Arabidopsis thaliana: one gene and its partner. The protein of the gene in region 2 interacts with the protein of the main gene of each other region in a pairwise test. Each region holds a gene or a part of one and is shown on either strand. Other genes may lie near its edges.

The links.
Region 1: the proteins of AT4G29100 (region 2) and LRL1 interact in a two-hybrid assay, tested with the Arabidopsis thaliana proteins (one large-scale study listed by BioGRID).

The regions. Positions count from the first base shown.
Region 1 is NC_003071.7:10,318,682-10,324,072, reverse strand, and holds LRL1 (LJRHL1-like 1), read left to right. Parts: upstream 1-1,649; 5' UTR 1,650-1,895; coding exon 1,896-2,186; intron 2,187-2,215; exon of another isoform or gene 2,216-2,251; coding exon 2,252-2,422; intron 2,423-2,566; coding exon 2,567-2,632; intron 2,633-3,174; coding exon 3,175-3,240; intron 3,241-3,628; coding exon 3,629-3,685; intron 3,686-4,025; coding exon 4,026-4,427; 3' UTR 4,428-4,860; downstream 4,861-5,391.
Region 2 is NC_003075.7:14,339,096-14,345,526, forward strand, and holds AT4G29100 (basic helix-loop-helix (bHLH) DNA-binding superfamily protein), read left to right. Parts: upstream 1-1,869; 5' UTR 1,870-2,044; coding exon 2,045-2,373; intron 2,374-2,608; coding exon 2,609-2,987; intron 2,988-3,257; coding exon 3,258-3,338; intron 3,339-3,969; coding exon 3,970-4,035; intron 4,036-4,194; coding exon 4,195-4,260; intron 4,261-4,528; coding exon 4,529-4,588; intron 4,589-4,743; coding exon 4,744-4,788; coding exon of another isoform or gene 4,789-4,830; exon of another isoform or gene 4,831-5,282; coding exon 5,283-5,480; 3' UTR 5,481-5,918; downstream 5,919-6,431.

The DNA.
Region 1 (5,391 bases), on a different chromosome or scaffold from region 2:
AAGTTATTATCATATTTTGTAATTATTAATTTACGAGTATCGTCTTTGGGATAGGATGTTTGTGATCTTGGGGGCATAGAAAAAAACAGTAGAATTTCGAGAGCTCTAGCATCATTGATGAATGTACCTGCTCGAGTTTATAATTTTAGACCATTGTCAATTATCATCGTGAAAAGATTATTAAAACATGAATGTAATATTTCATTCTCGGATTGTATTAATAAATATATAATATGTTTCATTTTATGAGTAATTTTGTACTATACATAATTCAGTTAATGATCAATTGCGGAAAATTCTAAATTTTTATATAATGAGAAACTTATTTACAATTTTAAAACTTATTTAACATTCGTATATATGAGTTGAACAAATGCACCATGTGTGTGTGAACAAATTTGCAGTACCATGTAAAACTAATTAGCTTACCAAGATGGACTACAAGTGTTTTTGGTCGGGCTAGAAGTAAATGGGTTGGAAACTGGTCATAGATATGGGTAAACGACCAGCGGCTGTGCTCTTTTAACCATCTCCTAAATTACTTTAATCCAAAGCCAATATTTTTTGATCATTCTCATTAAAATGGTTGGTTTTCCAGTGAATTTTGAAGTTAAGGTATATCTGTAGATAGTCAAGTAGCTAGATTAATCATTGGGTAACACTTAGGTGGTCCGAGACCATTTTGGGTAGCTCCAATGTACATCTCTTGAATTCCATCGATCCAAAGGGTCGTTTGGTTTCATCATTCTCCTTAAAATGATGTACTCTCTGAAAAGAAAAAAAATAGGTTAACGTCGTTAGGTCGAATGGATTTTTCAATGGGTAAGTAAGTATTTTTGATTTTGGTATGGTTCGGATAAATTCACGTTTATCCGGCTAAATGGCTCGAACATTTTGAATTCCACCCAAATGGTTAATCAACTTCTTAGGAAAACCTTTTGAGTGAATATCCAAGCCTCTATTTAATCGATCAGATCTAGGATTGGACAAGGATATCCTCCTTGTATTTGGTTTTTGGTGGGACTAATTAGGTAACTCCTTGGTCCATGTAAAATTTTTAGAAGCCACAATTGAAACGTAAGAAAGGCACTAATAATCACGGGCATGCCATCATCACCCATATACAGTATAATATTTATATAAGATTTTTTACACATATTAACAAAACACAAAAATCTCATTTAAATTATTTCCTTTCTATAAAAACATTATTAATTACACCTAATTTAATTAATAAAAAATATGTAACAAAATATAATTGATCAAAAATATTAAATATATTTAATTTTTGTATAGAAAAATGAAAACAACATTTATTTTACAACAACAAAACAAATCATTAAACTACATGAAAACACAAAAATAATAAAATTGCTAAACAATAAATGTTATCTAAGAAAACTATAATTGTATACAAAAGCTAGCTATTACACTTAGCACCATATAAATAAACTTCTTATCCATCAATGTTTAATATATATTTGTATAGTAAAATAAAACTAGTTTGCATCTGAAAAAGTATAATCAAATAAAACTCTTTAGATAGCAATATGTACATTAAAAAAAGACTTATTTTCATACGTATTAAGCTGTAAAAAATAATGATTAAGATTTGGGGTAAAGAGAAACCAAAGTTTAAGACGGAAACGAAACAAAAGATGATAATCATCGATTCATCATCACGATATAATATGGGTTGCTAACCACAATAGAAAAACAAAAGTTCTTTTAAGGTTTTAATAATATATCACCAAAAATGATAATTAAAACCTAAAATTAAAATAATATATCTACAAGACTACAACAATTCTGCTTTATAATAAAGCTATAAACCTCAACATTTTTCAACCTCTTCCCAAAAAAAAGTGTAGAAGCAGAAGAAACCCATCATCATCATGATGAACTCTTCTCTTCTAACTCCTTCTTCTTCATCTTCTTCCCATATCCAAACTCCATCAACAACTTTCGACCACGAAGACTTCCTCGATCAAATCTTTTCCTCGGCCCCGTGGCCCTCCGTCGTCGATGATGCTCATCCTCTTCCCTCCGATGGCTTCCACGGCCACGATGTCGACTCAAGGAATCAGCCGATCATGATGATGCCTTTGAATGATGGCTCCTCCGTCCACGCTCTTTATAATGGCTTCTCCGTCGCCGGATCTCTTCCTAACTTTCAAATCCCTCAGGTATAATCTCTTTCTCTTTTCTAAGTTTTTCTCTTCTTGAAAACGAGACTTATGGTGAAATATAGGGATCGGGAGGAGGATTGATGAACCAACAAGGACAAACGCAAACGCAAACGCAACCTCAGGCGAGCGCGTCTACAGCTACTGGTGGTACGGTGGCGGCTCCGCCGCAGAGTAGGACTAAAATCCGAGCTAGGAGAGGTCAAGCAACTGATCCTCATAGTATCGCCGAAAGGGTTAGTTGTTTTTGTTTTTTATTTTACTTTGTTCGATGCATTAATTTGTATCAGTTACCGAGAAAGGTGTCGAAATTGAATTTTTTTTAGCTTTTTGAAGAAAAGATTTGAGTATTTTCTGGAAAAAATGTTTTTATGGGACAGTTACGAAGAGAGAGAATTGCGGAAAGAATGAAAGCTCTTCAAGAACTCGTTCCTAACGGCAATAAGGTAAATTTTTATTCAATTCATTTTCAGTTTAGTTTCCAAAAATTAAGATTAGTTAAAATATTAAATGGATCATTATGAAAATAAACTTCACTTTCCATCATTTTATTCATCATCCACTCTTGATTCGTGCGATCCATAATTCCATCTAATTTACAATTTAAACTCCATCGTCTATTTATAGTTCTCATCTTCTAGACCTAAAATTGAAAAAATACAAAATAAATAATGAAAATAAGTGTCGAAATGATCAGGAACTTTCTTGGAGCTAGTTGTTCAAGAGATAGTTTTAGGCTGTCAACTAGAACTTTCAGGAGTTAACAAGTAAATTTATATTTTTTGTTTTACTCATATAATTGGTGGTTGTGTAGTCTATCTATATATAGGAGTAGCTAGTAGTATATATCAATCAAATGATTAAACACTGATTAGCTAATTAATTAATTAGGCTACAATAATAAAGTTAACTAATGCAGTAATAAATGAGTTAGGATCTCAGTTCTGACAGTTTTGTTTTTGTATTTTATTTGTATAATAATGGACAGACAGACAAGGCATCGATGCTCGATGAGATCATAGATTATGTCAAGTTTTTACAACTCCAAGTCAAGGTGAATCTCTCCCTCTCTCTCATATATTTACAGTTATTATTTTATTAAGTTTGTTTTTCATACGTACAAGGGGTAATTCTTTTACAGAGTGCAATTTGTTTTATTTTATTCTCTTCAATATAGATGGAAGATTCGTTTTTTTGCCTTTTAGTTTGACATATTAAACAAAAAGAAAAGCTGACATATTAGTACAATCTTTACATACCAATATATCAAATTTATGGGCCTCTGCAACTAAAATTCCTTATGCTCCCTCCTCAAATTTTATATATACATTCTGGATTATTATGTCATATAAATACATACATGATAAATAATGTTTTTAAGTTATAAATTAGTGGACCAGTGTACTTAATCATTCTGTTTTGAATTTAATTATGCGTTTTAGGTACTGAGCATGAGCAGATTGGGAGGTGCTGCTTCCGTTTCTTCTCAAATCTCCGAGGTAACTAATATATTACTATCTCTACGTACTCATTTTTCATAAATTTCAATAAACATCAAAGCCAATGGACAAAATTAAGAAATTAGACAATCACTTTTCTCTTATAATGTTAATTAGATTTTACAAAATATTATTTTGGTGTGTAAAAATAGATAAATCGTGCAAGACGTTGAAAACAAAATGAATGTAAAAAGTTTCCAGAAACAGAAAACAAATAAGACAAATTTTATAATTCTAAAATAGAGAAATATAAAAGAGAGCACGCGTGCCGACTAATCACTTAGGGTTTCGCTTTCTTTGTCTTTTTGTTTTTCAAAATGTTTTGTTTTATTTTGCTTAGGCTGGTGGATCCCACGGGAACGCATCCTCCGCCATGGTCGGCGGTAGCCAGACGGCCGGAAACTCCAACGACAGCGTTACAATGACGGAACATCAAGTGGCCAAACTAATGGAAGAAGACATGGGCTCGGCCATGCAATATCTTCAAGGGAAAGGTCTTTGTCTCATGCCAATCTCTTTAGCCACCGCCATCTCAACCGCCACGTGTCACTCCCGTAACCCTTTGATCCCTGGAGCTGTTGCCGACGTCGGAGGTCCTTCCCCTCCCAATCTTTCTGGCATGACCATACAGTCGACGAGTACAAAAATGGGTAGCGGTAATGGGAAATTAAACGGTAACGGCGTGACCGAGAGGTCGTCTTCTATCGCCGTTAAAGAGGCCGTATCCGTTTCGAAAGCGTGATAACGGCCGTTTACTTTTGGGGTTAGGCAGAGAGATACCAAAAACAAAGAGAAAGTGGGGTGAAGTGGGAGATAAAGTCAAAGTCTACGAAGAATGAGGTTGAGGTTGTTTGATGTGTTCTCTGAACGAAGCCATATTTTTCGTAGAGTTTTGGTTCTTTTACCTACGCACTACAAAACCATTCAAGGGACATTTCTTTTTCTTTTTTAAATATATGGTTGCAATATGTTTTATTTTTATTAAATAAAGTTGGTATCGTTGATCTGAATATTAGGCTAGAAAAAGAAAAAAATAGTATATTGGTTTTTCACTTAGAGATGGAGTTATAATCTCGTCTCTCAAATCTCAAATATTGAATCCAAGACTTTAGATGTTTATGGATCGCACAAGTCTAAATATTAGGATATGAGTTTGAAGAATATACAAATTCTGTACAAAACAAAGAGGTACGTACGTCTATACATTTTCACTATAGACATCAATCATCATTTAACAATTTTACAGTAGCAGTCTGTTTAAATGGACCTACTCAATACTAAAAAGTCTAAAACATTTTCTTAACTTGACACCATTAACTTTTTATCACAACACACGTCTATCTCAAATCCACACTACAAAATTAATTTTTCTTTTTAAATTACATCTTTGATCTATGAACACAACCTAGAAACCAAAACGTATTCCATCGAGGAAACTCTAGCTCGCTAATTAACAAAACTTGTTTTTTTTCTCTTTTTTTTTTTCCTAAATATTTTGGCTAACCCAAACAAAGCCTGTCTCTTATGTAAAAAATTCATGTCCTCATTCCCTTTTGCCAAACTAGCATATTTCCTACTTTCCATTAGGAAATTATTGCTCTCTATACAACCCAATATTTCAATATATATTTATCATATCTTTGAAATATCCTTATGACTCTCTTTTTGTTTAATGCCTTTCCTCTTGAAAATATCTTCCTAAACAC
Region 2 (6,431 bases):
TTTAAAATTAAGTGTATGCGTCATATGACACAATGCTCTCGTCATCTTGTGTCTAACAGAGTGAAATAAAGAACGAACAATTGTTTGTATACACACAAATACAATCGCACCTACATGTGCACATATTTTATTACGCTTATCTATAGAAAACTGTTTGATACATTTTTTCATTCTAAAGTAAATACACAATCCAAAAAATACTATGTCATGTTAAGAATGTTTAGTATATCTATTTATTTTAGGACAAGGAACATTTAACATATAGTAAACAGTTTTAACAAAATTTCTCTGATTTGAAATATATTTTTTATATTATCAGTAAAAAGAAAACTGTAAAGGTAATTATAGTCGTTGATTAAGATTATACTTAGTTTTTTAAAATAACATGTTTTAAAAATTTTGCAAAATAAGTTTTTTTTTTTACATGTCTCATAATTTTTGTCCTCAGTTTATGTTAAAAATATTTTGTTATTTTGATACTAACATCTTCCATACGCTGAAAACATCTTTGAGAATATTTTTCAAAACACAATATACAAAAATCCACAGTGACTTTATTCCACGATGAAATGATATCAAGACATATATGTTCTTACCTTTACCTTTCAACGAAAATGAGAGAAAAAATATATATATATAGTATCACTTTTAGAAAATGTTTTTTTTTGCTAATTAATTATTATATAAAAATGTTGAGAGCAACTTGATCATATATGTAATAAAGTCGCAGTGAAAAAAAAAATGTAATAAAGTCGCATACCGACGTTGTGACTCGTTTTTATGTAATTGATTAGTTAAGTACAGAGTTCGTTAGATGTATTTGCATTGTTACAATTACAGAAAACCCTACGCAACACAATTCAGTACTTTTTACGTCAGCAAAAATAGAATCTTTCGTTGAAAATAATACCAGAATCGTTCTTGTCTTTAATTTTCTTACCTTTTTGTAATTGGATATGATTTTTGACTATGGAATTATTATTATTTTATTCTATAAAATTATAGTTTTTATTATTGGAATCATTTATAAATGCTATTACTCAGTGTTCTTTAAAGTCCATACTAACGAATTCAAGTACTTATTTAACAAAACAAAACAAACAAATACTAATAAACTAAAAGTACAAACATTACTATGTTATTAAAAAAAGCATATAGCTGCGTGATTTTAAAGGTATATGTGACATATAATACAACGACGCCGTCGTATTTTATTGAATTTTTTTGTCACTTTTAATTAGTATACAGTGAGGAAATAAGCAAAAAGAAAGAAAAAAATATTGTTGGCTCGGCTAGTACCTATAAATAAAAACACTAGTATTTGGCCCAGGATATAATCATTGCAAGTTTAGAACTAGTTAGCTAATCTAAACCGTTAGATCAAAGAAGCAATCTTACTAATCAGAAAAACAAAATTCAACAAGTTACAAGAATGAAAAAAATAGGGATAAAAAAAAGGATAATTCATTTACATTCGATCAAAAGGCGAATGCATAGATCATAGATGCAAGACACTTGTGAGTTGTGATATAACCAAAAATTTATTTAATTATATGTAATATATATTCGAAAAATTTATACACCGTATATAAAATATTCGAATAATCCTTTTCTTTGATTTAAAAATATTTTCTGCTTGTTTTCTCAACTCATGTATTAATTTAAATAATAAAAGTAGCTACCACCTTTCTCTGCCCCACTTTAAGATAAAGCTAAAGCATGGAAAAAAGCATGGGAAAAAAGTAAATATATGATATACAATCAAATAAATCTAAAAAAATAGAAAAGAAAAATTAAAGGAACGAAAAAAAGAGGGAGGAAAAAGACAAAATTAAAAAACAAAAATAAAAATTCCAAAAAAATTAACATCACATGTTATCAAATGAGATCAAAATTTAAGTTAGTTTTGAGTTTTCTCTCTCTTTCTCTTCTCTAAAACTACTTAAGCTAAAGAATCAAACACTTCTCAACGTTTCTCCAAAGCCTCTGATTAGTAAACACATAAAGAGATCTATAGAGAGAGAGAGAGTAGAGATAAAAGGTGATGAATAGAGGTGTGTTGGAGAGTTCGCCGGTTCAGCAGCTGATGGCAGCCGGAAACCCTAATTGGTGGAACGTAAGCGGCGGCATGAGGCCACCACCACCGTTGATGGGTCATCAGCAGGCGCCGTTGCCACCACATATGACTCCTAATAACAATTATCTCCGACCACGGATGATGCCCACTCCCTTCCCGCACTTCTTGCCATCTCCGGCGACTTCTTCTTCTTCCTCTTCTTCTTCACCGTCTTTGCCTAATAACCCTAATCTCTCTTCTTGGCTTGAAAGCAATGATCTCCCTCCTGAGTCTTGGAGCCTTAGCCAACTTCTTTTGTAACTATCCCTCTATCTCTCTCCCTCTATAAATATTCCAAAATGAAATATTCTCTATACGCACATGACATGATCTTGTGTTTACTTACTAGTTCACTCTTTGTTTTCTCGTGTGTTGCTACTTAGTCCTAATTACCTTTTTGTTATACGTATATACGTATATACATGTATGTGTTTGTATTTTAAGTATCAAACAAACAATCTAATATTTTGGATATTTTCTTTGTGAACTTAGGGGTGGATTGATGATGGGAGAGGAAGAGAGATTGGAGATGATGAACCATCATAATCATCATGATGAACAACAACACCATGGTTTTCAAGGGAAGATAAGATTGGAGAATTGGGAAGAACAAGTGTTAAGCCACCAACAAGCTTCCATGGTGGCTGTTGACATCAAACAAGAGGGTAACATTAACAACAACAATGGCTATGTCATATCTTCCCCGAACTCACCTCCTAACAAATCTTGTGTTACAACAACTACCACAACAAGCCTCAATAGTAACGACGATAACATCAACAACAATAATAATATGTTGGATTTCTCTAGCAATCACAATGGTCTTCACTTGTCAGAAGGGAGACACACTCCTCCGGATCGATCCTCTGAGGTAACACTTTTTCCACATCTCAGAGATTTTGATAATATACGGAAAAAGCTCGGAAATAATATCTAGTTTTACACATAAATTAGTAAACACATCAACTACTATGAAAAAGTGAAATCTAAAACGTCATTTAAAAAGATCAGGACAACATATTTTATTTTAAGGTTTGGATCTAAATTCAACACGCAACCAGGATGAGTTTTGCTCTGAATTTTTTTTGATTAAATGACTAATTGATCTTTGTTTTGTTTGTTATCTATATATGTGATGCAGTGTAACAGCTTAGAGATTGGTGGGTCTACTAATAAGAAGCCAAGGCTCCAACCTTCTCCTTCGTCACAATCAACCCTCAAGGTAACTAATTGATTATATCAACGAAACTTTGGATAACTTATATAACGTTTTCTGTATATAAATTCCCTCCCTGACATCATACTAACAAAACAAAAACACAAACACAAAGGAGAACAGAAGAAGCAAACAAAACAGAATGGGCACAGAATAAGCTGTGTGGTTTTGTGTTTTGTAACTCTTTTGTTCTCTCCTGTTTTGTCTTCTTCTTCATTCTTCAATATTCCTTTCCTCTCTTTATTTCATAAAAATCAAACTTAAATTAATAAATTTCAACATTCTCCTTAGAATTAGACGACACTATATGTAATAAATTTTATTTTATAGAATATGGACATTTTGAGAGATTTCAAAGTTCTGTCAAAAAAAAAAAGAGATTTAAAAGTTTTGTTTTTTTCTGTAACTTGTTTTGAAACGTAGAAATGGAAGAGTCGCATTAGACATTGGATTCAATAATATCATGATAATTATATATACTAGTGAAAGTAAAATAATTGTTTATCACTTGTACATGCTAAGTAAGCACGTTTTCTCTATGCATGGTAATTAGTAAAAATAATATGACCACACATGCACATATATATAGAAAGCTTTTTAATTGATGCTATTAATTAATCTATGGTGGTAATTAAAGGTGAGAAAGGAGAAACTAGGAGGCCGAATCGCAGCGCTTCATCAGCTAGTATCTCCATTTGGAAAGGTAAAGATCGATTCCATTAACAAATCAAATTTATTAATGTCGTCTAATATTCCTCTATCAAATCAACTTTTAACATTAATTGTGGAGATTTTTTTAGTTTCATTCTTGTTAATCTAAAATCTAAATCATTCTTCATCCCTTTTTACCCATCTTTTGCAGACTGACACAGCCTCTGTCCTGTCGGAAGCTATTGGATACATTAGATTCCTTCAGAGTCAAATTGAGGTGTGACTCGTCTTTTCCAAACTCCAAATATTCTCATTCAGTAAAATAAAAATAATGCTTATGATTACTCCGTTTACCAAAAAAAAAAAGAAGAAAAAAAGGTTGTGATTACTGAGAAATAAATTACAGAATAAAGCATAATGATATTATATAAGAAAGAATAAAGATAGTAGTATAAAGTTTTGTTCTCTCCATGTTAAGTAATATTTGATTGATGTGATTATATATAAAGTATTTATGACTTTTTGCAACTGTTGCACTGTTGCAGGCTCTGAGTCATCCATACTTTGGTACGACTGCCTCGGGGAATATGAGGCACCAACAACATGTAAGTAGCAAATTTTCGTATATATACTGATATACACAAACAAATCATCATGCTATCGTTTTATACCCTTAACTTCTTCTTTTTCGATAACCTACACGAAACTTTTTATACTTATATATTATCTCTTAAGTCTTAACTATGGTTTATATGAATAGTTGCAAGGAGATAGGAGTTGCATATTTCCTGAGGACCCTGGTCAGGTACGTCCATTTTTTCTTGGTCACTATACTTTTAATATATAATTAGAGTCACTATACTTTTTATTGGATCAATTGAATCCAAATCTAAAAAATGTGGACAGCTTTAGTTTCCAAAATTTATCCTTTTTTTTCTTTTGTTTTTTTTCTTTTCTACTGTTTTCTTTAAAGTAAAGTTGGATTAATATTAAAAGATGCAGCGGCCAGCTTTTTTTTCACCCTCCCTTACATTATTATAAACCAAAAAAGTTCGTTAAAACCAACAAAGCCACTAAATTTATTTAAATATCAACTTTTTCTCCTTACTTGTTTTCTTCATCTAAGTGAAATTCAAATTCCTTTGGCGGGGTTTTATATATGCTTTTCACTAGGGGAAATTCAATGATTTTTTTTCTTATCACCTCTTTATATAGGTGTTAGAGAACATGTGTTTACTTTTTTTGTTAATCAATGCTATATATCATGATTGTTTTTTTTTTTTTTTGATATGGTTTTAGCTCGTGAACGATCAGTGCATGAAGAGAAGAGGAGCTTCGTCGTCATCTACGGACAATCAAAATGCAAGTGAAGAGCCTAAGAAAGATCTGAGAAGTCGAGGTTTATGTCTTGTCCCAATCTCATGCACACTCCAAGTAGGCAGCGACAACGGCGCGGACTATTGGGCTCCAGCACTTGGCTCCGCCGGTTTCCATTGAGCCAATGAAATTACGCCACGTGGAATTCCAGCGTTAGAGAAAAATGATATAACATCACGAGCAGTCAGTCTACTGAGAAAACAACAAATTGAGTTTCCAAGGCTGATTGCTCATGATGCTATACAAAGTTCTTCGTTTAAAACTTTGCTAGAGAATTTGCGTCTGGCGTCTGATGAATATGCGTTTGGCGTTTCATCATTTGATGCGTTATCAGATGATATGACCAAGTGATCAATTTATGTTCTTGCTTTAGGAAACTGTTTGTTTTCTTTTACCGGTTAATTGTAATTTGTGGTTAAGTACTTATTTTAATTACTTCCACGTGGTTTGTATCGTTATAATTTTGCTATTACTTATAATATGTCTATTGTGTGGGATATATACGACATGCAGACCATTAAAATAAAAAAGTGTGCCGGAAAATATCGATATAAGTTACTTCGTTTGCCTTTTTCATGCGTAGTTCTTAATTCACGTAAATGATCATCCACAATGAAAAAAGAAAAAGAACGAAAAAGTTCAGAAATTATGAATCTTATTAATTATTATTGATAATTATTTTACTTCACTCCACCATATGTGTGAACTAGTGGAGCCTTGGAGGATCACTAACAAAGAAGAAAATAAGAAACAAGATATATCATCACTTTTTGAGAACTTGCTCTTCATTTAAACGGTTCATTTCTTCTCTTTGAAGTTACGATCATCAAAGAACTTCTTAGGGTTGCTCTCAAAAGCCTCCCTCTAAACGCTTTGTCGTCCACCAGATCCAGGAGCAACCATTGTTTTACCGATGTCGGAAGTGCTACCAGAACCACCGCTTCCGCCACTCGTACCAAAATTCTTGGCTCCATCAGCTTTGGTGTTCTTGGCGTCCATGGCTTGATTTTGGGATTGGAAACGATTATAAATTGAAGGTTTGGTTATTTTGTGAATCATGAATTCGACTGT